7 linked regions of the Oryzias latipes genome follow. The protein of the gene in region 1 purifies or fractionates together with the protein of each later gene. This does not show direct contact. Links are inferred from orthologs where the notes say so. Each region holds a gene or a part of one and is shown on either strand. Other genes may lie near its edges. The genes, in order: dvl2, csnk1d, vangl2, E3 ubiquitin-protein ligase Itchy, dact1, vangl1 and nedd4l.

Region 1 (3,500 bases):
CAGTGAACTCTCCGGGCTTCCAGGACTTTACAGGGTTTCCATTATACTCACTGGATTAAAACCCTGTGACTTGTGTGACAGGGGGATTGGGGGTGGGGTGGGGGGGTGGTCCAGATAACATCTGTTTAATTGAGATCATCTGCATCTGAATCACAAGCAGTATTCAGAAGTCTGTCCAAGTTTTTCTTTTTCTTTCTTTTTTTTTTACTTCTGCTCTACTTTTTGTTGTTTTATTTAAAAGCTTTAATAATGTTTTAATAATAATCCATTTTATTTAGAAGCGCCTTTCAAGAAACCCAACCTGTATAAAACAAAGGTTAAAATAATCATTAAAAGCACAATAAATAGAAATAGTCAAAAAATCTAAAGTGAATCAAGATGAGAAGGCAGAAATAAACAGATGAGTTTTGATTAGAAAGTTTGTAAAGAGTCTATGTTACGGAGGTCGGGAGGTCAGGAGGGAGCTGAGCAGCTGAAGGCTCAGGTTCCCATGGTAACAAGTCGAGCCGGAGGAACAGAGAGCTGGACAGAGGAGGAGAACCGAAAAGAACGAGAGGGCGTTTTGATCTGCAGTAGGTCGGAAAGATGAGGGGGGGCCAGTTTTGGCTGCAGACTTTAGACTTCCACGGGCGTATTTACTTTATCACTGTCAGATCTATTAACACCTGTGGATTACTGTTGGGATATCTGAAAGCCAAATGGTGACAAAAAACAGATGAAATGACACGTTTGTGTAGTAAAAACCCCAAAAATTCAATTTAAAGTCTTAACAAAAAGTTATTCGGAAAGATTGATGCAGGTCGTTTACAATTTAAAAACACAAAGTTAATTACATTATAGAATAATAATGTAGAGAACATTACTATAAAGCTGGTTTATGGTTTAGTCACAACTGCCCTTACTGTTTGATCTGTCCCGCATTAGTCAGAGGAGGGGAAAAACTTTAAATTAAGAATAAAATAAAAATAAGAAACAAATTTACTGTCCCATACAAATGAGAAAAATAAACTTCATGAGTAGAATTGTCAAATTCTCCATGCTGGTTTTGGACCCACTGATCAAATCAATAACGCGTCACGGGCCACAGCTGAGTCTCTGATTGGTTGATGGACACAAATTCTTTACCAATGTTTAGATTTTGAAACATGGCGACACTCGAAACACGCTGCTGCTGCTGCTGGTAGATTGCTGCTTTGCGCCTGATGCTCAAAATGTGTGTCAGACGTCTGTTGGCTTCTGTTCAGTGACTTAACATTCAAACTGGACACACTAGTTGGGTTTGCGCCCCCCTTAAGATGCGCTCTGGTCTAAGGCCCTTCACGAGCCCAGACCCCCGCAGCACCCGCACACGCCAACCCCCATACGGGTGCATGGCTACGGTTCTAGATGTCTCCTGGAACCTGGTAAGGGTTATTTCAGACAGGCTCTGTCATCAGATTAGTCTTTCTGTTCAGAACGTGTTTGTTCCTCTTCCAGCAGTCACTTCTGCAACTATCCATCTCATTGAAGCATCTCGACCAGAAAGAAGATGTTTGGCATGAATGAACGTAATGAAAGGGAACTTTTTTTTCCCTTTTCTCTCCGTGTCTTCAGGCTCTGACGTAGTGGAGTGGCTCTTCCACCACATTGAAGGATTTCAGGACCGCCGGGAAGCCCGGAAGTACGCCAGCAACCTCCTGAAGGCCGGCTTCATTCGCCACACCGTCAACAAGATCACCTTCTCGGAGCAGTGCTACTACGTGTTCGGAGACCTGAGCGACTGCGAGAACTGTGAGTCGCCGGAGAACTCGACACATCAAAGGAACAACCTGCTTTCTTGTGGACTCCACACGGTTAAATTAAATAGATTTTGGAGGGGTTTCTTTAATGACGAGTAGAAAAGCATCGTCACGATGAAGCCCTTTTAAAAATGACGCGACACACAGAATGAACCCTATTGCAGACGAAGCATAAGTGGTTTACAGTTCCTGTCTTCCACAGACATGGCTAATCTGTCCCTGAACGACAACGACGGCTCCAGCGGCGCCTCCGACCAGGACACCCTGGCCCCCCTGCCCCTCCCGGGCGCCACTCCGTGGCCCATGATGCACACCTTTCCCTACCAGGCCTACCCCACCCACCCCTACTCCAGCCAGCCTCCTCCGTACCACGAACTCACCAGCTACAGCTACGCCCCCGGCAGCACCGGCAGCCAGCACAGCGAGGGTGAGCGCAGACTCGCCATATTTTCTCACAGCGCTCAAATACCTGCTGATTCAGTATTTGAAAGAGTTATTTTGGAAAGCCACATCCAACTCATTCTCGACGCATGTCAAGGTGCTCGGTTGACAATCCATCCGCTTAAAGCCACTGACTCAAGCTGGAAAAGGTAACAAATAAACGTATTTTGAAAGCCTTAGACTTCAAAATAAAAGCTGCATTTAACAGACAAAAACCTGGAGTCTTTTGCTCAAAATAAAAGTTACGGGAAACTAAAAATAGAAAAATCAGACCCCCATTTTGCCTGACGTGGAACCGATCTGTGACCTGAAAAAGTTCAGAGACCGCCAGGTTAAAACTTGCGGTTTATTGTAAGGAGCAGGTCTGTTGAGCAAATTTACACCAGAACTGTTTGCTTCGTTCCGCAAAAGCTCTTCTGAACTCTGCAAAACAGAGTTCGGGTCGGCAGGCAAGTGTAACCCGGGGCAGTTCACTACAGTGTGAACACGAATGAGACTCCAGACGGGAAGCAAAAAGAAGAGGTGACGTGAGCGCTGTGGCAACTGTGGGGAAAAATGACCGGTAAGTGAGGTAAAAGGAAAAAAAAGTAGGAACAAAAGAAGTGCTAATATTCAACATTTCTTTCCTCCCTCTTTAGGGAGGAGGGAGAAAATAGGTAACATAAAGAAAATTATGATAACTGGGCGGGGTCAAGGTTGGCCACACAGCCGTTTATTTGGTGACACATAAAAATCAAAGGGAACTAAAGGAAAATAACCAAAAAAACACCAAAGGGGGGATAAATAATGGTATAAATAAAATTCTCAGGCTTTATAGCAAGACACCAAAGACAGAAATACAAAACTCCAAATGACTCATAATGCAAACAAAAGGCCACAGTAGTAAATGTAACAGAAGGACAAAACCAGATTCAAACTAAGAGGGAAACTAGAGGCTTTCAAAGGCAAAGGCCAGGCAGACAGCAGGGGCAAGCTGAAGAACGAATTCCCACCCAGGAATGCAGCCGCCACTGGAGCAAAGGATCCTGGGAGCTTTTAAAGCTTCCCTCCAAGCCAGGCGATTGGTAGCAGCCTCAATCAGCTCTGCAGAGGGGGCGGAGTCAGCAGCTGTGCAGGAGCAGACTTCTACAGGAGCAAGAGCACATACACACACAAACAAGCAGACAACTACCAGGGATCCTAGCACCGAGTCTAAATGCACCTTTAGAGCGTTAAATAAACCCAAACTTCATATCTTAGACTACATACAGGCATGTCATGCGCATTCAAGATGGCGCTGAA
Region 2 (3,500 bases), on another chromosome or scaffold:
GGCAAGAAGGGAAACCTGGTCTACATCATCGACTTCGGTCTGGCTAAGAAGTACCGTGACGCGCGCACACACCAGCACATCCCCTACCGCGAGAACAAGAACCTGACCGGCACCGCCCGCTACGCCTCCATCAACACACATCTGGGAATCGGTAAGAGCAGTTCAGGCGGAGGCGGGGCCAGTCGTTCTTCTGCAGCCGGCAGACTCTGATGTTCCACCTCCTGTTTTCCAGAACAGTCCAGGCGTGACGACCTGGAGTCGCTGGGATACGTCCTCATGTACTTCAACCTGGGTTCCCTCCCCTGGCAAGGCCTGAAAGCTGCAACCAAGAGGCAAAAGTATGAGCGCATCAGTGAGAAGAAGATGTCCACGCCCATTGAGGTCCTCTGCAAAGGCTACCCATGTAGGTCAAAGACAGCGGCGGCGTTTGAACCTCCTCTCCGTCTAGTCTGCCCTGTTCTCACCTCTGTTTTCCTCCCTCTGAAGCCGAGTTTGCCACCTACCTGAACTTCTGCCGCTCTCTGCGCTTTGACGATAAACCAGACTACTCGTACCTGCGGCAGCTCTTCAGGAACCTCTTCCACCGTCAAGGCTTCTCCTACGACTACGTCTTTGACTGGAACATGCTCAAGTTTGTAAGTCAGAGTGCTCTTCAACCCACACCACTCATTCAGGAGGTTTCCAAACATGTTTGGGTTTTAAACCTAGACTTGTTTTAATTTAAAGGTTTCAAAACATTAAGACAGACAGAAATGTAAGACACACACGTCCTCCGGAGCATCTGCTCCCATGGCGTCCTGGGATGTTGTTCGGCTCCTCTGAGCTCGTTTCGTGCCGTCGTTGACGCAAAGATGGATGACTGTCTCGTTAGGGAGCCAACAGAGCCGTGGAGGACGCCGAGAGGGAGCGGCGGGAGCGCGAGGACAGGCTGAGGCACGGCAGGAACCCCGCAGCCAGAGGGATGCCGTCCGGCTCCGGAAGAGCCAGGGCCCCCCAGGACGCTGCGGCCCCCTCCCCTCTCAACCCCGCCTCTCACACAGGTCAGAGCGCTTCGGAAGTCTGGTTTTCAGGCTCCGTGGGGTCAAAGGCCGGGCCGCTGCAGGTCTTCTAATGTTCTGTTTCCTTTTGTCAGTTATGGACATTAAAAAACAAAAAGTCAACTGAAAGCAGCAGCAGAAAAAGTCGGTGGATAAAGACTTTAATATTAAAACGGGTGTTTTTGATGACTTTCATAAAAAGCAGCTGCCCTCCATCTTCCTGTTTGTCATAGAACTGCTGTTTGCCTTCATCTGTAACCGACTGAAAGTTACAGTTACAATGTGAGGAAGAAGAGCGTCGCGTCCAGTGAAGGAAGCAGAAGCTGCTGCTGCTGCTGCTGCTGCTGCTGCTGCTGCTTTAGGGGACGGATGCTTTCATGTGCAGCTCACCAGGAATGTGTGCTGCTGCTCCTTTAGGCATGGAGAAGGAGAGGAAGGTGAGCATGCGTCTTCATCGTGGAGCCCCCGTCAACATCTCCTCCTCAGACCTGACGGGGCGCCAGGACACGTCCCGCATGTCCACCTCGCAGGTGAGGAGTCTGTCAAACCTTTCTGCTGACACCAGCAGACCTTCCCAGCAGAGCTCTGACCCTCACACCTGCGTCTGTCTCCCAGGCTCTGTCCCGGGTCACGCCCAGCGGGCTCCAGTCTGCAGCCCCTCGGTGAAACCCCCCCCTGCGTCCACCTGTCCACCACGGAGGCCTCAACTCGCACCGCCTGCAGCACGCACACTCGCTCACACTCCTCCGCACGGACTGCCAGAAGCCTCACGTGACGCCGAGGACCGCCAACCAGAGCACAAGAGCCCGGCTGTGCTTCTGTTCACTCGTGGAAGGAGACGCACAGTCGGGATGTTGTGTTTGTGTGTGTGTGTGTGTGGGAGACAAAGGGATGGGCAGGTGGAGCGGTTTGGTTGCCTTAACTACCATCTTGGCAAAGTAGCAGCCACAAAAACTCTTCTTCCTGTCTTGTGGAAGATGTGGAAATGCCTCCTCCTCCTCCCTTCTGGTGATGAAGCCATGGATTCATCCTCCTTTATGGTTTAACTTGTACTTTCTCTTCTCCTGAAGCGGCTGCTCGGCCTGGTAGCAGCCCGTGAAGGGAGCGTTAGCTGTGCCGCACGGCCGAGTGTCTTTGCTCCCTTCAGGTGGGACGGGCATGGAGAGAGCCTGTGCTGACCTCACATGCCCACAAAGTGACTTTGTCTTAATTTCTGAGTTGTGCCGCCGCTGTGGGACGCGACGGCTGCGGTCCGAGCGCCGGTTGTGACGCCACGTGGCGTTCAGGTCAGAAAACTGTGAATATGGCAGAGCGGCTGGTGTTTTTAGAGCCGTGTGTGTTTGTGTGTATTTATGTGCTTCTGTCTCAGAGTCTCACACTCTGGAAGGGGTGAGGGATCAGGGTGAGCAGGTTTTTTTTATTTAACCTTTGACCTTTTTTTGTACCTTCACCTGGGCCTGTATGGCGTCTCCGTCTGCTTCCTTTGGCGTCAGACAGGACCGGTTGGACTTTCCACACGGGTTGTTGCAGCCGTTGGTCTTGTGTGACGGGACTTTTCCAGATTCCTAACTTTATTTTTGAGAATCTGTCGCTGCTGCTCGTGTGAACAGCTCCGCCTCCAAATCGCTGTTAATGCGGTCAGTTTGTGTCGGATCCCGCTTAGATTTTTACTGAACCCAAGACTGTTATCCACCTTCACCTCAGTCACTACGGTTCTTTCTCTGGAGTCCCGACCCGAGGTCCTGGCGTCCGGATCAGGGGATGGCTTCGTGCTGCATTCAGGAACATCTCTGTGGAGGCGGCCCTGAATGTGACCCCAAAGGAAGCAGTTCTGAGCCTTCCCAGCTGTTGACCGATTGTAGACGCAGACGCCTCCTGGGCCGGATCTCCTGATCGGACCGGAACCCGCGGGGCTTTAAAGTAGAGATGTCTTTGTGTGATGAAGTGGTTGGTTTGTGTAGCTGAGGGGGTTGTAGTTGTGTTGTGGTGTGTAGGATGCATCGCCTGCTCTGTTCCACGTCCTCGGCAGCCGCTGCAGGAGCCTGACGTGTAGAGGGGGCGGGGGCGCCTCATTCCAGTAGACGCCATGCTGAGGCCGTGTCTGTAGTTTTCCTGAATAGATTTCACCTTGAAAACAACAATGTGATGATAGACGTGTGTGTCTCACTGATGTTGGATGTGAGAACACCGTTGCTCTGTCACCTCCCCCTGGAGGACGCTCCGGCCTGCGGAGGGAACGCCGTGGATCCACGGGAATCTCTTTTCACTCCCATCCCAGGACTCTGGCTCCTCATTTGTAATGCCACTGTATCTGTGCTTTTTTAATTGTGTAAATAAATTAATAAGTACTTGTACGTTTGCATTCTGTGGATTCATTCTGGTCTCCAAACACCTGCGGCGCTGTGAGAGCGTGGCGTCCTCCCTATGAAACTCCACAGAAACGGTGTTACCGTGGTAACCTCC
Region 3 (3,500 bases), on another chromosome or scaffold:
AGAGCAGGGACAGCAGCAGTCGTGGAGACAAATCGGTCACCATCCAAACTCCGGGAGAGCCGCTTCTGGATGCAGAGTCCACCCGTGGAGATGACCGGGTCAGCGGCTCTGACGTTTCCCTCTGAAGGGCCCATGTCATGCTTTTCTCAAGCCTTTCAGAGTCAACTACATGAGCAGATATTACCTTTGGCACACTAAAGAAAATATCCAACAGCATCCCAACTTTTGCAGAGATGGATGTGCATATTGTGCAGATAAAGTTAAAGCATTTAGCCCATCACCGCTAGCTCCACACAGAAAGTGGGCGTGTGTGTTAGTCTGGGGGCGGAGCTGGTAGCACAGACTCTTCCTGGAAGGGGCTGTTCCTCCCTTTGTGATGTCACACTGTGAGAGCCCACTCGTTTTGGTGGATTGGGAGGGGCTGGTGTTCAGAGAGCAGGTTTTTAGAGGAATGCTCACACATGCGTGAATGGATCAAAATACCACTTTGGGTTGTTTTCTGTGAGGAATGAACATAATAATACACTTAAAAGCTCAAAAAGTTGACTTTGCATCATAAAGACCCTTTAAACAGAATTATTCCCAACATTAACCACTGGTTAGGCTTTTGTACTAGTTGCTGTTAATGCAGAGACGTCAGTCCAGGTAAGCAGAGAGTTCCCCGTCTCTAGTCCACGGTGAAGGAATGGGGACCTCCCAGCTGTTTTAACAGAGGAGGTGTCGTGGATTGATTCCCACTGACCCAGCAGATGTTGCCTTTTCTCTCTCTAAGTGGGCCCTCGCCCTCTCTCAACAGCTCAGTTGTGTTTCATCGGAGCAGTTGGTGGTTTTGTTTGAATCCTGTCAGCGGGCAAAGAGCAGGTGTTGACATTTGTGTTCTCCTCAAAGACTTGAGAGCCTTCAGCTTAACACCAGAGAGCGGCTGTCTTTGAGGAGGCAGAGGAGACACGCTAAAGCAAAGAGGGGCTCTTTGAGTAAATAGTGAAGGGCTGTCGGTGTCCGCGGTAAGCCAAGCTGTCACCATTACTGGCATGACACTAAAGAGCATTATTCCTTCTAAAGGTTTCGAGACGATTAAGGACATTTGTGACTGAAAGTGGGGATTAGACTGTTTCAAAATGCTTTAAAAAGGATCTCTATAGAAACACTCCTGGGTTTTCTTGATAGAAAAAGGATTTATTGCAGATTTGATTCAGCGTGCTTAAATTCCAAACCCGCGTGCTTACTGGAAGGCCTGTTTTCACAGACAAAAATGGAGTAAAATTTCCCTTTTTGAAGGATTTGAACACGTTTGACATGTTTTTTTGTCCTTTGCTATTCATCTTCAGGACGATAACTGGGGGGAGACGACCACTGTGGTCACAGGCACCTCTGAACACAGCATCTCAAATGAGGACCTGACCCGCGCCACCAAAGATTTGGAAGACTCCACCCCTCTGCAGTGCAAGCGTTTTATTGGCCCGGTGCTGGGAGGCTGCCTGAGCTTCTTCGCTCTGATCACGCCTCTAGCCTTCCTCATCCTCCCTCAGGTCCTGTGGCGCGACGACCTTGAGGTCTGCGGGACGCCCTGCGAAGGCCTCTACGTCTCGCTCGCCTTCAAGCTCCTTGTTCTCCTCATCTCCTCATGGGCGTTGTTCCTCCGTCCTCCCCGCGCCACCCTGCCTCGGTTTTTCGTCTTCCGCTGCTTGCTCATGGTGCTGGTGTTCCTGTTCGTGGCGTCCTACTGGTTGTTCTATGGCGTGCGAGTGCTGGAGCCCAGGGAGAGGGACTACAGGGGCATCGTGGAGTACGCCGCCTCCCTTGTGGACGCCCTCCTCTTCATCCAGTACCTGGCTTTGGTGTTATTGGAAGTCCGACACCTGCAGCCAGCCTTCTGTCTTAAGGTGGTCCGGACCGCAGATGGAGCCAGCAAATTCTACAATGTGGGCCACCTCAGGTTTGTTGTGGACTCACGGTTCCCACTTCCTGGAAGTTTACAGCTGAATCATTGCCGCTCTGTGTTGAAATCACTAGTTTTACTCTCAGTAGCACATTTGCAGTTGTTGTATTTTCCAAACTATAAGTCGCACCCGCCCAAAAAAGGCAAAAAAGAAAAGAAAAAAATCATATACGAGTCTCACTTTTGAGAGAGAAGTAAACAACCCCACAGAGCTCGGTGTGACTCTGTGTTCACACCGAGCTCATCAAATTTGCTGCTCGACGCTTGTCCAAAAGCGTGTTTCTTGACCCTTGTGTTATCTTGTGGGGTCCTCATGAGCCCACTCCCAACGTTAATTTGGAGACACGTTAACGTTGGGAGTGGGCTCATCAGGACCCCACAAGATAGCACAAGAGTTAAACGAGACACCTGGCCGCATGTGGGAGGAGCTACCATCATCTCTACATGGAAGCATGGACTGTATATTTCATGCATGGAAGACCTGAATGATGTTGAGAGATCAGGTTGATTTAAACAAACATCTGTAATCCCGTCTGGGTTCATGAGATCATTCAGAGACTCTCCCGGTTCATCTTCATCGTCTTCTGCAGGAGCTGCGTCAGAAATACGGTGTAGGTACCAAAAGTATTCCACCTGCAATAACGGTTCGTGGTCCTGCCACCAATGATGACGTCACTACGGTAACACTGCTTGGACAAACTACATAGTTACGTAGGGTCTAGATCTGCTAGGGCTCTATATAAATTCTTTCCCTCATAACTAAAAATGCTATTTTGAATTTTAAGGTGTGTCTGACATAATTGTTTGTTACACCAGATCTATAATAGAGAGACACATTGGCAATATAAACTTATTTTTCCAACGTGAGTAAATGACTGTATGAGAAACAATATTTATTTATGGTGTACTGTCTGGTTTAATTGGCCTAAAAGTTTACATTTCTTTCTTTTTTAAACACATTGAAAGCATTAATATACTAATTACAAAAAAAACAGCACAAACACCATATTTTTATGTTAAATTTTATGTATTATTCAAGTTATTGAAACAAACAACCAACCAAAAAACAAAGCATTAGCACTAAAACAAATGCTAAATGTCTTGAATCCAGTTTTCTGCTGGTCTCCACAGCTGGCCACAGAAGATACGCTGAAAGTCCCTTGTGATACATGGGGGGAGATCTTCATGGACAAGTCATCCATGTTTCTCACGGATAACGGTGTTGGCGTGTAAACTTGCGGACCAATCATTAAACGTCATCTGACCAACGTATAGCCAATCACATAATGTGACATCATCATCAATCGCAGGACCACGAACAGTTATTGCAGGCCGGATACTTTTGGTACCAACAACGGCTGCTGTCAGCGCTACTTCTGCTTCCCTGTGACCCAGTTTGACAATTTGCTGTCCCACATTGGTCCCAGGAGGGGCAAAAATATAAATAATAATGTCTCAAAGCAAGAAAAGAAGTGTTTCATGAAGTTCAGGAGGACAATGATTAGATTTCCCTCCGTTTTGACTTTGGAATCCACCTGCTGATCAGACTTCTTCTGTGTTG
Region 4 (4,224 bases), on another chromosome or scaffold:
CAGCTTTTATTTAATATATATTGGTAACAAAAAACGTTGTCAATTTAGCCTGAAGAAGTATTCAGTCATACTTCCTACACCATACGTACATTGTCTATAGTATACCTGCTATACTTATACTCAATTATGATTAATTAATAAAATAAACTTCAAGTGCACTACTTTTTGCCAAGAGTACCTTTTGAAAAACATATTATTATAAAAAATGAACAAACAATACATATGTTCATGTGGAAAAGTATAAATACACACATAAATGTGGTCATACATAAATGCTTAGATTTAAACATACCAGAGATTCATGTATGTAAGGAAATGTATGTAAACTAATATAAATGAAGAACAAGAATTTTTTTAATATGTCTAAGTAATCTATGTAAACATTTGAATTTTCGTATTTGTAATATTTCAATAATGCTTGAATGTAAATAAGGGAGATGGGTTTTTTTAAGCTTTATTGAACATAACATTAAATTACAAAACACAACATCAAGGAATCAAACAGATCATCAGCAGCAACAATAAATGCCATCATTCCAAACTTACTCATCCACATCAAGTAGTAATTGTAGCAGAAATGTATCAAAAATAGAATTTGCTGATAAGAAATAAAGTATCATAAAATATATAAAAGAGAATTAAAAAAAATAATGTTTACAATACAAAGTTTTCTTAGAGGCAGGGATTACATATCAAACAAAAGAAAACACAAATTGTTCCAGTGTAACTTTCTTTGGATGTGTTAATTTTTTTAATGTATTCATAAAACTGAAGCATCTCTATCTTAAATAGTATAAATTAGGAGTTTTCTTTTTTTTATTCTGCACTTATGTATGTAAGATTTAGATTGGAGAAGTAACAAATACATACTATTTTCTACTTTTTTATCATCAGAATTGAAATATGTGAGCATTTGTTTGAAGTTTATAATAATGTTACAATTAAATTTGATGTTTACAAAGCGTTTCCAAAATTCACGGGAAAATTTACAAAAGCAGAAAAGGTGAAGAACTGATTCGGGGAAATCAATACAAAAACGACAATTATTTTCTATATTTGAAAATTTGTGGTGTAAATGTTATGTAGAATGTTTTTCATGTATTTCTTTAATTTTGTTATTTATACAAAATAGGATCCACGCAATTCTTTCCAATTTATATCATTTAAAATAAGGGAGATGTTTTGTTTTTTTTAAACTTTATTGTTCAAAACAAATACAACAAATATGTGTGACAAGATCAATAGTCATAACAACGTGAATGCCAGGGGATGGTACATGTATTACAAAAGAAACATTACAGAAACAGATTCCTATGAATTGATTGGAAGGGAGATGGGTTTAGGCACGATTACGCGTTTCATCTACGTCACTCCTCTGGTCCAATCACCGCGCAGAGGGGGGAAGAGCGCACCCTATGCACCCCGCCTTGTTTCGGTCACGTGACAGGAGCTTACGAAGATGGTGGAAGTTTCTACTTCCTAAAAGTGAAGGCTGACTGAAACGACAACGACGAAAGCCGCGAGGATTTACCACCTGATCGCCGCGCGTTACACCATCTTCTGGATTAAGGTGAGACGATAAATTTCACCTGATAAATCAGAGGACTTTTCTCTCCGTCTGTGACTGCCTGACTTTGGGGTCTCCAGCCTGCTAGCCCGCGTCAGGCTAACAGGTTAGCAGCTAGTAGCCGTCTCTGTGGGATGGCATCAGGTTGTTTGTGTCCAGCTGACATTCAACACGTTCATAACAACTGCAGCTTCAATGCAAATGTAGCCGCTCCATGTTCAGCATCTATACACTTTGTTTGTTTCCTTCTCGTTTTGGTGAAGGAATTCGGCTATGTTAGCGTTAGCTTAAACAGTACACTTTCAGCTGGAGCAAATTATGTGTGTAAGGTTTGTTTAGCCACACTGGGTGGGACATGTTAGTGAAAGAAATTAGTTTTTGTTTTGTTTTTTCCGCGTAGCAACAACATTTAAAAACCTATTAGTATCCTACGCTGAGGATCGATAGACCATTTTACCTTTAGACACTCGGAATAACCACCTAGGAAGGTGAATCAGCAGTAAAAGAAAAAATGCTGTTGGATCGAGGCCCGATCTGACTGCGCCTGTCAGGCGTCCTTATTGACATTATGGGACATGTCTTCTGCTCAGGAGTGTCGTGAATCTCCTCTGGCAGGATAGATTGGTCCTCTTAGGATCAGTGGAGCCTCTGGAGAAGGCCTGATCGCGAGCAGCAGTTATCAGCAACCCGGCGAGGCGTGTTCCTCTGTGTCTTTATTGCAGGTTTAGCTGGACACTTATTAACTCATTGCGTGACCAAAGTGTCTGAGCTGTTAGTGCTTCATATTTATACCCCTTGTTGACAGGCCCAGACCCCCCCCCCCCCCCCCCCCATTTCTCTTTATAATGAATTGAGTCGTCTGATAGTTGTCTTTAAAAAGGACTATATTTTGAGTAAGCACATAGATTAACGCCCTGATTCCTATAGTGTGTAATTATACCTGTTTTGCTGATACAGTGTTAGTCATGGGGCGGTAGTATGTCTGTGACGTGAACGGTTAACAAGTTTAGTATTTCTAAGGGATTTCTTTTTTTTTCGACATAAAAAGCAGATTTTGTTTTAAAATAAAAATAGATGTAACACGTAAGGAATCCACAGCGAGACAAATGTTAATTATCAGACTGTGAGGGATTAAAGATAGTTAAAAATGGAAAAGCAAATCAAGTTGGAATTTAATTTTAATATCTGGAAAACACCTTCATTGACAGAACGGTCAGTCTTCTTGCTATGCAACAAAGTCGGTGGTTGCATTAAATTATTGACAAAGATCAAAGTGAAAGTTTACCCATCAGCCCCTTACTTTCTCCCATGTTGCCCTGAGTCACTGGGCCGGACAGACTGAGGACCATCTATTATTCAGAGATGTTTGGAGGAAACTGGCCATGCTGAAACACAGATCGTGTGTTTTATTTACCTGCGTAAGGCCGTCATTGTTGATTTAGTCTTGCTCATATGTTTGTTGGGCAAACATTTTTCTAAAAGAACATTCCCGTCTGTGAGATTCAAGCATAAATATTGCTTTACAGCGGCTCTTAAAGTGTAATAAAAAACACCATCTGGGTCCAATAAGCACATTTTTAATGTTCATCACAATCTGAAATCCTCTGGATATTTTCCATACTAGACAGATGTCCTCAAAAAAAACAAAATAAATAAAATAATGCAAATCAAATTCTTAATTTGATATTTGATCACCAAATTGAAAGTTAATTATACTTTGGACATTTTCCTGCCTCTATTTTATAGTTAAAGATGCTGATTTTTGGTTCAAGAAAGTCACATTTAGCTTCTTTTTTTGTTATCTCCTCAAAGGTTCATTCAGTCCTGTGGATTTTATTCCTGATATTATGGATCTGAACTTCCCGTTACTCTGGCTTAGTTTCTGTTTTGAATGCAAATGTCAGCGTGTGTTCATATTTCATATGTCGTAGCAAATTTAGAAACTGTTGGTTAAAAGTTTTTTTTTGTTTTTTTTAAAGGACTTGACTCAAAGTTTACAACTGTGGTGCAAATACTGAGTGTGAGCAGTGTAAACTCAAGCCTGCACTCACATTTATCCTTCCAGGATATATTCTAAAAAGATTCCAGTGGAAGCCATGAGAAGAAATAATTCTTTGCTAAATGACAGGATTATGCTTTTTAGAAAGAATCAGGAGTATATTAGTTTGCCAGTCTAAGACTTTTGTATGTAAAGACATGTTCATCGTCCTTGCAGGAAGCGTTCTAATAGTATTTCTTTTGGTGCTGCAGGGCCTCTTCTCATCCTTATGTCATGGCCAGTGGGCTCGCCAAGTCAGGCACTTCCAATGGTTTCCCTCTCAAGTCACAGCTGCAAATTAATGGTAGGTTTTCACTTTTGCCAGGAGTGCACACACACACAGAGGAACGTGTAATTATTTTCTTTTTCCTTGGATTTTTGTCACACTTTGAAACTAAAAGGTGTAAATGATGTAACAAAGGAACTTTCTGGAATTTTAGCTTTCAGGTTTAGGTTTTATTTCGCAGCTGTAGGTTCGCAGCTATGCTACAATAATGCATATTTATTGCATTCCTAGCATGTTAGGAAGCTCTAGCTTATGCTAAGAAAAAAAACACAGTTCTCTGTTTGAACCAACATAGGAGAGTTTTGTCTGGAGAATTTTTTTTTATGCAGGAAG
Region 5 (4,030 bases), on another chromosome or scaffold:
CTTTTATTTTGTACGTGGAATACTGGGTCAGATTTTGGCTTCTGGTTTACCTGAAGCCTGATCCAGCTCACCTTTTTTTCCCCATCTGAGCTGTTGTTATCACCGCCTCATTAAATGCAGAAATGAATAAAATGTTTATTTTCTTGAAACTGCTTTAGTTGTTCTTGTAGCAAACATCTATCCGATTTTTAAAAATAATTCAAGGAGAACTCAGGTTTTACAGGTAAACAAAACGGAGTCTGGGATCAAACAGAACCTGGAGGGCTTTAGGACCCCAGAAAAGAGGTGTCATGCTAAAAAAGTAAAAACTACTCTTCCTTTCACAATAAAGGTTAGAATAAAGAATTTTAGATTTTCCAAGTTTGCAGATTATGTGACAGATGATTTTCTAAAAGTTATGTAAATTCTGATAAAACCAAAACAGAAACAGTTTTAGAAAAGTTGGAACTTCCCACAGAAATTCTGGACATTTTTGGCCCAGTTTTATAAAGAAATCTAGAACATAAATGTTTGGTCAAAATGTTTGCTTTTTCAGAACAAATCCTGCTGCTGCTGTGGTGCAGAGGTGTAGCGGTTGACCTCTATTGCATAATGGAGGCTTCTGTTCCTGATCTTTGTCACAGAGTTCCTAAGAACGACACTGAATCCCTCCTCGCTCTCAGCGGCCTGGCGAGTGGTTTGCCTTCCGCCATCATACAGCCATCAGTGAATAAATGTGTGGCTTTCGTAAACCGCTCTGTACCTGGAAGAAGGTGAAAAGTGCAGTGCAAGTACAAACCACTGAACCAAAAATGAAGAGGAAGTCTATAGAACAGCTTGGAACATTATAAAAACGTTGGCTTGAAATATAAACAGTTGATTTTACTACCACAAACAAGTGTAGTTGTGCTGAAAAATAAACACAATTTCTGTCACTTTGAAGGTCCAGATATGAAAAGTGAAAATATTATTTCACACAAATGATGAATACTACTAAATGTATCATCAAAATGTTTTGTATTTGTTGCTATTTGAATTTAATCTAATTACAATCAATATTTCTCAATATTTTACAACTGTTTTCATCAATATTTAACAAAAGTTTGGAAATCTGAGACTTGATCTGAAATATTGTGATGTGAAATTTAATCCTAAATTTTTTTCTATATTTTGAGATTACATATGTATTAAAATTAGAATCAAATTACTGTCACTAATAATACGTTAGGATTACCTTTATCTGTTATTTTAATGGAAATGAGAGGAAGTTCAATGAATGACCTTTAAATCTTACTTCTCATGCTCCTTTTCTTTGTTATGTCGTTGGAATTTTGTGTTTTTAGTGGATTTAGTTTAGGTTGTTTTATTTTGAAGGAGTCAATAGGAAGAATCTATTTCGAGCTGACGTCACTCATGGCGGTGTGCTTGGCTCGATGAAGGGGCGTGGTCTCGAGGGGCGGGGTTTTGTTGCGCTGCAGCGGCTCTGGCTCAGTGTTCTGGGAGCTCCAGAGGCAGCAGCGGGTTTTGGGGAGACTCTGCTGGATCTCCGAACCGCTGGCCCGAACAGGTCCGGATCCTCACATCCATGTGGACCCGAATCCCGCCGCTGGACCGCTGAACCACCCTTTTTCATTGCAACTCCGGGGTGTCTGGATCTCTGTGCCCGCCGCCCACGCTTCGTTCCCGCAGGTGCGGGTCAGCGGGTGCTTTTGCGTGATGCCTGCCGGGTCATTCGGAACCTGATGCCGCAGAGAGCCCCCGTCGCCGCAGAGGAGATGCCGCTCAGCAGCGCCTGCAGGCGGGACAGTCACAGGGCGGACGCGGCGGAGCGGCTGCGCTCCGTGCGGGAGCGGCTGGACGCGGTGGTGTTTGGGCTCAGCGAGCTGGAGAGCATGCGGCAGCGGCAGCAGGTGCTCATCCGAACCGCTCTGGAGAAGCCCGGGGATCGGGAGGCCCAGCTGAGTCCCGAGGAGAACATCCTGGTGCTCAGGAGGCAGCTGGTAGGTCCTGACCCCCCCCCCCCCCCCCCCCCCCCCAACTATCCATGTCGAGGAATGCGTGAAACCAGAGCAAAGTCTGATGAAGTCTGATGATTTCCTCTTATCAGGTGTAGATTTCTGATTCTGGTTCTGCAGATTTAGCCTTTCAGTCTTTCCGTCGGCTGCAGATCTCTTCAGAAATGATTTTGGCCCACAAGGGCAAGACGTGATGGATGAGTTCAGGTTTCTACAGATCTTTATTCTGCTGTCATGAAGGTCCTACCAAGTGAAAATCAGATGTTGCATCATCTGATCTTCTGCTGTGGCTCCAGAGTTCCAAATCTTGTTCAGTTTATTTGGTTTTCTTCTTTTTTTAATCCCTGCTGAAGGACTTCTAGATGCTCGATGATCAGACCTAAAGATAATCGTGCAGTCTTGGATTCTTCTGTGTCTCAGAACATCAGGTGGCAACAGGAACGTTTCATGAGAAAAAGAGCTCCAGCTGGTGTGATGCTGAGCTCAGATTCCTGTCAGGATCCATCCCGGTGTTCCACCAGCAAAAACCTTAAACCGAAGTCCTGCAGCCTCAGATGGAAACTGCTAAACACAAACAAGAGTCACAAGCAGATTTAACTGAATCTGCATGACTGTGCGGTCTCAAGGGTCCAATGCTGCTCCTCTGCAGAACCCAACCAGAACCACTCTTGGAGAACCCAGCAGAAATTTCAGGATGGAGCTTAGAAAGTGACAGAAAAGGGGCTTTAGGCTCTTCATTCTGCTGCTTTCTGAAGATGAGGATGATGTCTCAGTAAGAGACCAGAAAACCACTTACGGTAAGTGGGCGGGGCCTGACAGAGTGTGGTCAGCTGACCTCCACAGAACAGATTTCAAAACTGATCAAAGATTATAGCTTCAGGTTGTTTACAGGAGCGGGACACACAAACAAACATAAACCTGTAGACAAACACATATACACAAACTAAAACACACAAACAAACACACATGTTCAAGCAAACATGAAAAGATGAACAAGTATAAACAGGTGAACACAACAGAAACAAACAAATAACAACCAAACAGATATAAACACAGAAGTAAACACAAACAGAAGTAAACATACAAAGAGACAGACGTATGTAAACACAGACAAAAATAAAAGTTGTAAACACCCAAACAGTCGTAACGCACACAAAAATATAACCACAAACAAACAGATGTTACCACAAATGCACATTAACACACAAACAGACGCAAACACACAGAATCAGACAGACATAAACCCAAACAAACAGTTATAACCACAAACAAAAAGATGTTAACACAAACAAACCCTTACACACAAACAGTCATAAATACACTCTGAAGTAAAAACACGCAAACAAACAGGCGTAAACACACACAAACAGATGTAAACAGACACAAACAGTTGTAAACAAACACAAACAAACAGATGTAACCACACAAAAACACACAGTCGTAAACAGATATAAACGCACATACAGACTACAGCTGAGCTCGGCTGTTCTGGTCACATGATCAGCATCAGTGGCCAGTTTCAGCTCTGGAATGTGGCGCCGCATAACCCACATGTTTTCCATCCTGCGAGAGCAACAGATTGTGTGTGTGTGTGTGGGTGTGTGTGTGTGTGTGTGTGTGCGTTTGTGTGTCCCTATGCTTGTTACCTTATAAGGACCTTCAGCTGCGGAGATGAATAAAGTTCATCCCATGTTGGAGTCATTTCTGTTCGTGGGTCTGCGTGAAAATGTGCTTTCAGTATAAACGCACTTTTGATGTTTTCACAACTGAAACAACAAACTGGAAAAACTCCCTCAAGAGAAGACGAGATAAGTTACAGAACAGTATTCTTCTGTTTCATGTCTAATCTTCGTCATTCAAAAGTTTGCCTCTTTGTTCTTGGAGTGAGGAACATGAGCAGATGGACTGCAGCTGGAAAGAGCGTCTAGTTCTCTTTGACGCTTAAAAACCACAATTGTGTTTAATTTTTTAAAATCAAAAACATCACAAAACTTTGTTGAAAATGTTGTAAAACATTTGCCATTTTTGTCCCTTAG
Region 6 (3,500 bases), on another chromosome or scaffold:
ATAATTCAGAAACAAAGAAGTCTGCGTTTGAATTTCGAACTAATAAACACTCTTCTGGATACAATTGTACCTTTTTTGGGGGGGTAAAACCTAACTTGATTGTGCTCCATGTGTCCTCCCATTGTTCTGCTTCAGCTCTGTGGTTTAAACCTGGAGGCTACCGAGAGATTTTCTGTTCCAGTGCATCCTCCTCCTCCTCCTCCGCCTCCGCCTCCCAAACCCCCTGTCTGTACTGTTCATAATGCATCCTCTTGATAAACCCCTGCTGCCAGTGTGCGGTTCTTCTCACTGATGTGATTCCTAAATACGGCTTCATTTCAGCTGGATAGCTCTTGGCTGATAGAAGAAAAGATCTTTGATTGCATTTTCTTGCAGCTGATGACTGTTGGTCATGTGGCCTTTTATGGCCGGCTTTGTTATCACATTACAAGCTTGTTATGACTGTCATGTAAAGAGTCTTTATCTGTGTTTTTGTAACGGTGCCGCTCCGTCACTGCTGACATTCATTATCGACGGATGCAGGAACGCTCTCTCTGACCTTTTCCTCTCCTCGCCATTTTCCGTGGGGGGAAAGTAAACTCTGCGATTTGCTTTTTGTGCGTCTTTAATATTCTGGCTGCTGAAGCATTGTTAAAGGAGGAACCCATTGTTGCAACTTATTGTGGTTTCTGCACTACCCTATGTCATTTGATAGTTCTTAAGGCCCGTTCACACCGGTACGAATTTCGCCGGCGATTTTCGCCCACGTTTAACGCCTCGTGACTAAACAAAGGGCACCAATGAGAGTGTGCACACCGACGCGAAAAAACGCCACGCGTCAAAGCGTCAAAAAAAACGCCTCGGGTTCGTTTTTTTTTTTTGACGCCTCGCGTCGAAATCTATTCGACCAATGAGAATGGCGCTTTTGCACACGTGTCTGGAGCTTCTGAAGTTACAGTAAAACACAACTTGGGGGCGCTCAAACACAAAACTGCCTTGCTGAACACGCATACCAGCGAAGAAGATAGACGCCAAGTAGCGTCTACACAGCCGCGAAGAAATAATGACGGACATTCTAAAATATCCCCGAACCAAGCACCAGTTGGAGCTACTGGTGCTTGAAATATTCATGTTTTCTTTGTATTATTCGGACAAGCGCGTAAATACTTGCTCTCTTCTTCTGAGTGAAAAGCGACTTTAAGAAGCGTAAAGTTGCGCAGCGCCACCTTGTGTACAGGAGTATTTCTGTTTACATTAAGCGCCATCTAATGTCAGGGAATGAAATTGCATGTTCACTCGGCTCATCGACAGCGAAAATTGCCTGGGTGTGAACACAAAAAAACGTGGCGAAAAAACGCTGGCGAATAACGCCTGGCGAATATTCGTCCCGGTGTGTACGGGCCTTGAGTCATGTGACGTGTGCGATGATCATGAAGGCAAAACAGCAATCCAAGATGGCGGCTGACACCCAAAAGCCAGTCAGTTTTCAGATATTTTCTTCACTTAACCAAAAATATGCAAACCATGAAAATATACTTTTGAGTTGTTGACCTATTTTCAACACCCCTACAACTCTTAAAAATGGACAAGCGATGAACTTTAATGAACATGTGATGGAGAGTTGATCACCTTTCTTGTCTTGACAACCATAATTCTTTAAGTGTTCAGGATGGGTCAACCCAACTAAGGTAATTCCAGAGGGTTTTGAAGGGGACAAAAGCAGCTTTACACTGATAAGCAACCCTTTACAGTAGTGAAGTGTTTAGGCAATCAACGTCAGTCGGTGGTCGCCAAGAAAAGCAGCCGGATGCCATTATTGGTGCAAAGCCAATATGAACAGCCACTATTCTCCACGTAGGAATCAGCTGACTCCCATTGATCGCGTTAAGCGGGTTACTGTTTGGTATTTAGGTGTCTCCAGCGACATCTCCTGTGTTACAAGGTTAAAAAGGCCTGTTTGCTCCATCCTGTGTGGTTCATCTTACCTACTGTGGTGGTTAACCTTGCCTGAATGTGGTACTCAAAGCTGGGACTTCCAACTTATTGTTATTCATGGTAACTGGATCTCTTTGGTCTGCGGCTTCAGTAGTGATTGGTTAAAAGAAATCGCACACTGGAGCTCCAGAAAGTATATAATATTGTTGTGCGTTTCTCGATGTCAAAGCCAGTTATTCTACACAAAGGTTGCAAGCAAGTTGCTTAAGTTAAATGCATGCCTATCACGCTTTCCGTTTTTGTAAACAAAATTCACTTTACTTCAAGAAAAGACACATTGATAACTTATCAGAATTAAAAGGTCCTTTATTTTTGCATCATATGTCCTCCTTGTATTTCCAGGATGATAACTGGGGTGAGACCACCACGGCCATCACAGGTACGTCCGAGCACAGCCTGTCCCAGGAGGACATCGTCCGCATCACCAAGGACCTGGAAGACAGCGTGGGGCTCAACTGTCGTCGCTACCTCACCCGGATTTTGGCCGTGATCCTGGGCGTCCTGGTGCTCCTCACACCGCTGGCCTTCCTGGTGCTGCCCCACCTCCTCTGGCCAGACAAGCTGCAGAATTGCGGGACGGCCTGCGAGGGCCTCTACATCTCCATAGCCTTCAAGCTCCTCATCCTCCTGCTGGCCGTCTGGGGACTCTTCTTCAGGCCGCCGCGAGCAAGCCTCCCACGGGTCTTTGCGTTTCGGGCCCTCCTCTCTGTTCTGGTGCTGCTCTTTGTCATCTCCTATTGGCTCTTCTACGCAGTCCGGATACTTGAAGCGCAGGTGTGTGGAGACAATAACCACAATCTTGACTGAATAACCCAAAAAAAGCTAATTAGGCGGGATAGCACTCATTATATGCACACAGATTTATTTCTCCTGCCTTCGGGAGCCTCGCTAAATCACAAAACACAACCCAAACACCTAATTTAAACTCTGGTGGCTTCAGCATGCTTGAAGAAAACACAAACACGAGGTCCAAAGGCTTTTTCTCTGAAACGTTTCTAAATATTTATGTTCCTAGGGTATCCAGCATTTCAGGGTCTATTTTCTTTTCTTCTGAAAACGTTGATTTTGTGCTTTGCTGCATGCGTCATATTGTCCCATTTGCAGGATGCAGACTACCAGGGCATCGTTCAGTACGCCGTCTCGCTTGTGGACGCCCTGCTCTTCATCCACTACCTGGCCATCGTGCTGCTGGAGCTCCGCCAGCTTCAGCCATGCTTCTCCGTATGCGTCACGCGCTCCACAGACGGCGAGACGAGGCACTACAACCTGGGACAGCTCAGGTGAGAATCCCCGGCGACGAGACCCTTTCAGTTCTGACTCCTTGCGTGTGCTTCCCAGAGTGCTTTGTGGTTGGGGTCAGTTGTAAATTCTCTAGGATAAACGGGCTCCTCAGGTTATTCCAGGAGGAGTTTTTGAACCTCTAATGCCACTCCAGTGCTCTAGAAGTTTGCCGTCATGAAAAGAAAAGACGTGAGGAAGTATTTTCTGATGCTAATCTTCCTCAGCAGACGTGACTTTTGTGCATA
Region 7 (3,997 bases), on another chromosome or scaffold:
TTTAATAAAATTTTAAAATAACTACAAAAAGATGCAGAAACATGTCTGAATTACATCCAATTTTATAAATGATGTGGTCTAAACTTATAACCCATGACTCAGAATTGCACAGAAACGATGTTTGAAGTTAAATCTTAATCATAAAGATCCCCAATGGGAATTTTTATAAGCAGACTTGGAGTTTAATGATCCCCTTTTAATAAAACTGAGTCTGTGCACTAGTTCCCATAAGAGATATTATTTTTTATGTATATGGTTTGGCATTCATGTGCTGTGGGTTATACAGTATGGTATATCAAAAACATGGTTCAAATTCTGAGAGCTTGGCAAAAAGTATGGTATAAATAAAAATCTATAGATTACAAGTTACACTATGAGCGAATTTATCTCAAGTCCCTCTTATGGGAGATTAGGGGTGGAAAAGACAATATTAACATCAGCCTTTCTTTAAAAAAAACAGTATAGATTCCTAGCTATAGCCTAATAATTATATTTTAAACAATAAAATATGGTTCTTTAAACGTGTTTACCTTCTTTCTGTGTCACTACCTAATGGTACTCTTGGGGCATTAAACCAATGACTATGACTTAACACTAAAATGACTAAAACAGATGAAGCAGGTGGTTGTGTAATCTTTATTCTTTCTATTGGGAAAATGTTTAAGTGATTAAAGCTTTTGTTTTGACACTACAGTCGTGAAACTTTTGTCGACTGTTCGAAGGCTGGCAACAGGTTCTGTGGTCCAGAAGACACTGTTTTTTTTGTTTTGTTTTGTTTTTTGGTATTGGGAATGGTACGATGGGGAACAGCTCAAGTACAGTTTAAAATAAAGCTAAATAAAAGAGTTTAAAACAGTGATAGGGAAAGAGAGAGGGAGCTAAAAATACACCAACAAATATTTTTAGATCCTTTGGACTTTTAGCAAAATGAGGTATTGATGATTGCATTTCTTCATCCGTACTTGAAATGTAATGATATTTTAGATCTTAATCACTGGCAGTGCAGCTGCTGCTAGAATACAGATCCGTTCCAGTCTACAACCAGAGAAAAGACATTTCACTAAAATAAACACCCATGACTGAAATGATTTAAAGATGAAGGAATTAACTTGATAAAAAGCATTTCTTAAAATCACGATTATGATCAAAAATCTACATTTCAAATGTCTATAAAACAGAATGTAACAAATGAATTGTACATTTATCCAGATGCCTGTTACTCCTTTTCTTTCATAGCTGATTTGGCTCGTGTGCACAACTTCAAATGCCTGTGGTTGTGAAGAAAGAGCAAGTGTCTAATTCCGTTTAGAAACAACTCTGTGCTTTCTATACGGTTCCCAGCAAGTTACCACCCTCGTTCTGCATTGTAACAACATTTCCTGGTCTCTCACTAAGGTAAATAAACATCTTCAAACAGTGCTCACTGAAACACCAGATAAAAATCGTCCATTTTTCCACCATTAAAAAAAGGTCGGCATTTATTTATGCAAAAGTAAGGCTTTTTTATGTGAATTAAACAGCCTGTTGCAGTAAAAATACCAGAAACAAGCCATGGTCCAACTCAATAGCAAATTATTTCATTACCTTGGGATTATTTGTTGATTCTTTGCCAATATTAACTTCCTTATCTCCACCTCCACTCTGGGAAAAGTATATCTTGAAATGTGGTTGCCTTCTGGGGGCTTCCTCTTCAATTTTAAAAACACAACCATTCGACCCGTTTTTAGTTTCTGCCTCAACATAAGTTGGATTCTCCTCTATAGTCGGATATTCTGTTCCGCTTTCCAAGTGTTTATCCTCCAGCAAAAGACTTTGTTGGGATGAACTCCGGTGGAATCTAATTCTTGGATAACGCACTGTTTGTAATCCTCTAGTACTGCTTTGCCCAAAGTCTGAGCATTCTTCCTGATGGGAAGTTGACTCTTGTCGTCCCTGGTAGGTATTTTTCTGGTCTTGCTGGAGCTGAAATACTAGTCTTTGTGTTGTCCCATTAACATCAAAGCAGTGATCCAGGCTCTCCTGTTGGACAGACCAACCCGCACCACCGTTTGGAAGAATCCTAAAATGCTGGACATCAGAACCGTTAAGAGATTTTTTCTTAATACAAATAGTCCCAACACTATTACCAGGTTGGAATCTGTTGAAAGCAGCATGGCCCCTGGAACCAAGACAAAACACTCTGCGTTTGGGAAGGTTTGGCTCCATCAGACAAGACTGTATGTTTAAGGAATCTGGGCTGTAGTATGGAGGCGGTGGCTGTTGTGGAAGGTCAGCTCGAGTCCTTAGTTCAGTGTATGCAGGCGCAGGTCCTGGAGGAGTATAAGAGGGTGGTGGGACATCATCAACTCCGGTAGGCTCTCCGTTACTTGATTCACTTGAGCGATGAAGTGATATATGCATTGATGAGCTCTTAGTTGCACGTGGTTCGGCAAAAGCAGCAAGATGGGGTATGAACATCGAAGAGCTGCGTTTCAGCAAAGGCTCAGACTGTAAAGCAGAACTAGCTGAATGGACATTCTCCCCAGCTAACACTTGAGGTGGCCTTGACAGAAAAGGTGTGGGAGTGAAGACTACTGCAACCTCCTCACTGTCTTCCTGCTGTTCCTCCGAGTCTCCCTCCAGTATCTCTGGTGCTGTATTGCTGCGGCCAGATCCAAAGTACAAACGCAGACGTTGGGCCATTTTACTCTCCGTCCTCCAGCTCCAAAACCCCCACACTTTCTCCGACTGGTTTTAGGTTCTCCTCTCTCCTCGTGTCGCCCACTTCTTCTCTCACTGACTGGATAACTGATCCCCTTTTTCTTCCACCCACCTCGCCCTCCCCCTCCCAACTTCTCAGAGACTCTTCCACAACTTTCCCACTCAGTAAACTGTTCGCAGAAAACCAATTGCTCAACAGAAACATGGCAGTCACTCCAAAACAACTGACAGCATTTGAATAAAAGTAAAAAGAGGAGGAAGAGGAAAACCAGAAAGGAAGAGCAAGTAAAACTTTAAAAAAATTATATAGAAAGGGGATCCCTCTTTCCTTGGTAGCACTACCAAGCACTAGCGACAGACAGCAGAAATAGCCTTAGTCAAGTAACAGCCAGCATTCCTGACATGATTGGATAAGGGCCGCCTGGGCTCCTGGTTACTGAGGTGACAGTGGGGTGTCTGTGGGTCACGTGACTGTAACTGGCCCCCACCACCTCTTCTGGAAACCTCATATTGCCCTCAAGTGCCAAATACACCCCCCCTCAAGCTGCACCCAGCATACGCATGTGTGCGCTTCTCTGGTTTCATGATTAGTCATCACACAACTCTTTCCTTTCACAACAACTCCTAATAATGTTCTTTTTTAGGGTCGCATTAAACCTCTTCTTTAATACAACACTGCCACTAGAGCCAACTTTAAAAAAGTATTTTAGGCGGTGTAAATTACAGACACTGACCCAATTTATTTACAACAGACACTCGTATACCTTGATCTTTTAGTATATCACCTCAATGAGGGAAAGAATAGGAAAAAGAAAAGAAAAAATACAGCCACAAACAAACGATCCATATTTTACGTTTACTAGGATAACTTGTTATAAAAGAAGGTAAGCAGGTTCTTGCGAATACAATACAATTTAGAGATAACATTAAAGATGCAACTTTAAATTAGGACGGTAAAATGTTTCCTGTAATTAATTGCAGCTTGTACACACACAAAAAAAACAACCTGTGTAGACTGTTGCTAAAAATACATCACAGAAATGGCACAGAGAGGCCAAAATGGACTTTTCATGACAGCAGCTTTGATTCAACGAAAAGGATACTCCTTTGAGGAAAGATGGATCAGTTAGAAAAAGTCATTTCTTCCAACACACTTTCAACTACCTAAGTGGCTAATGGAATAATGGCCACATTGTTTTTCTCCCATAGCTGCCAGAGATTATTCGGCTCTAAACCTTGCCCTGAATTCCCATCCAGCGCCAAACCACAATGCAAATCACCAGTGTATTAGCATGCC

The links.
Region 2: the proteins of dvl2 (region 1) and csnk1d purify together in Homo sapiens (affinity purification with mass spectrometry; 3 studies listed by BioGRID and IntAct, with this or other methods). This does not show direct contact. The link is inferred for Oryzias latipes from reciprocal best matches to the Homo sapiens genes DVL2 and CSNK1D.
Region 3: the proteins of dvl2 (region 1) and vangl2 purify together in Homo sapiens (affinity purification with mass spectrometry; 4 studies listed by BioGRID and IntAct, with this or other methods). This does not show direct contact. The link is inferred for Oryzias latipes from reciprocal best matches to the Homo sapiens genes DVL2 and VANGL2.
Region 4: the proteins of dvl2 (region 1) and E3 ubiquitin-protein ligase Itchy purify together in Homo sapiens (affinity purification with western blotting; 4 studies listed by BioGRID and IntAct, with this or other methods). This does not show direct contact. The link is inferred for Oryzias latipes from reciprocal best matches to the Homo sapiens genes DVL2 and ITCH.
Region 5: the proteins of dvl2 (region 1) and dact1 purify together in Homo sapiens (affinity purification with western blotting; 3 studies listed by BioGRID and IntAct, with this or other methods). This does not show direct contact. The link is inferred for Oryzias latipes from reciprocal best matches to the Homo sapiens genes DVL2 and DACT1.
Region 6: the proteins of dvl2 (region 1) and vangl1 purify together in Homo sapiens (affinity purification with mass spectrometry; 4 studies listed by BioGRID and IntAct, with this or other methods). This does not show direct contact. The link is inferred for Oryzias latipes from reciprocal best matches to the Homo sapiens genes DVL2 and VANGL1.
Region 7: the proteins of dvl2 (region 1) and nedd4l purify together in Homo sapiens (affinity purification with mass spectrometry; 4 studies listed by BioGRID and IntAct, with this or other methods). This does not show direct contact. The link is inferred for Oryzias latipes from reciprocal best matches to the Homo sapiens genes DVL2 and NEDD4L.

What each region holds. Positions count from the first base shown.
Region 1 is NC_019876.2:14,950,398-14,953,897, forward strand, and holds part of dvl2 (segment polarity protein dishevelled homolog DVL-2), read left to right. Parts: intron 1-1,593; coding exon 1,594-1,770; intron 1,771-1,980; coding exon 1,981-2,205; intron 2,206-3,500.
Region 2 is NC_019866.2:24,949,525-24,953,024, reverse strand, and holds the end of csnk1d (casein kinase I), read left to right. Parts: coding exon 1-151; intron 152-232; coding exon 233-403; intron 404-486; coding exon 487-635; intron 636-871; coding exon 872-1,040; intron 1,041-1,454; coding exon 1,455-1,567; intron 1,568-1,652; coding exon 1,653-1,703; 3' UTR 1,704-3,391; downstream 3,392-3,500. UniProt on the Homo sapiens protein: Essential serine/threonine-protein kinase that regulates diverse cellular growth and survival processes including Wnt signaling, DNA repair and circadian rhythms. It can phosphorylate a large number of proteins.
Region 3 is NC_019875.2:3,190,949-3,194,448, reverse strand, and holds part of vangl2 (vang-like protein 2), read left to right. Parts: coding exon 1-98; intron 99-1,328; coding exon 1,329-1,936; intron 1,937-3,500. UniProt on the Homo sapiens protein: Involved in the control of early morphogenesis and patterning of both axial midline structures and the development of neural plate. Plays a role in the regulation of planar cell polarity, particularly in the orientation of stereociliary bundles in the cochlea.
Region 4 is NC_019865.2:2,030,875-2,035,098, reverse strand, and holds the start of E3 ubiquitin-protein ligase Itchy, read left to right. Parts: upstream 1-1,424; 5' UTR 1,425-1,570; intron 1,571-3,817; 5' UTR 3,818-3,839; coding exon 3,840-3,909; intron 3,910-4,224. UniProt on the Homo sapiens protein: Acts as an Acts as an E3 ubiquitin-protein ligase which accepts ubiquitin from an E2 ubiquitin-conjugating enzyme in the form of a thioester and then directly transfers the ubiquitin to targeted substrates.
Region 5 is NC_019880.2:2,437,629-2,441,658, reverse strand, and holds the start of dact1 (dapper homolog 1), read left to right. Parts: upstream 1-1,230; 5' UTR 1,231-1,412; coding exon 1,413-1,979; intron 1,980-4,030.
Region 6 is NC_019860.2:16,731,598-16,735,097, reverse strand, and holds part of vangl1 (vang-like protein 1), read left to right. Parts: intron 1-2,316; coding exon 2,317-2,748; intron 2,749-3,078; coding exon 3,079-3,254; intron 3,255-3,500.
Region 7 is NC_019870.2:9,923,245-9,927,241, reverse strand, and holds the start of nedd4l (E3 ubiquitin-protein ligase NEDD4-like), read right to left. Parts: upstream 2,801-3,997; 5' UTR 2,683-2,800; coding exon 1,585-2,682; intron 1-1,584. UniProt on the Homo sapiens protein: E3 ubiquitin-protein ligase that mediates the polyubiquitination of lysine and cysteine residues on target proteins and is thereby implicated in the regulation of various signaling pathways including autophagy, innate immunity or DNA repair.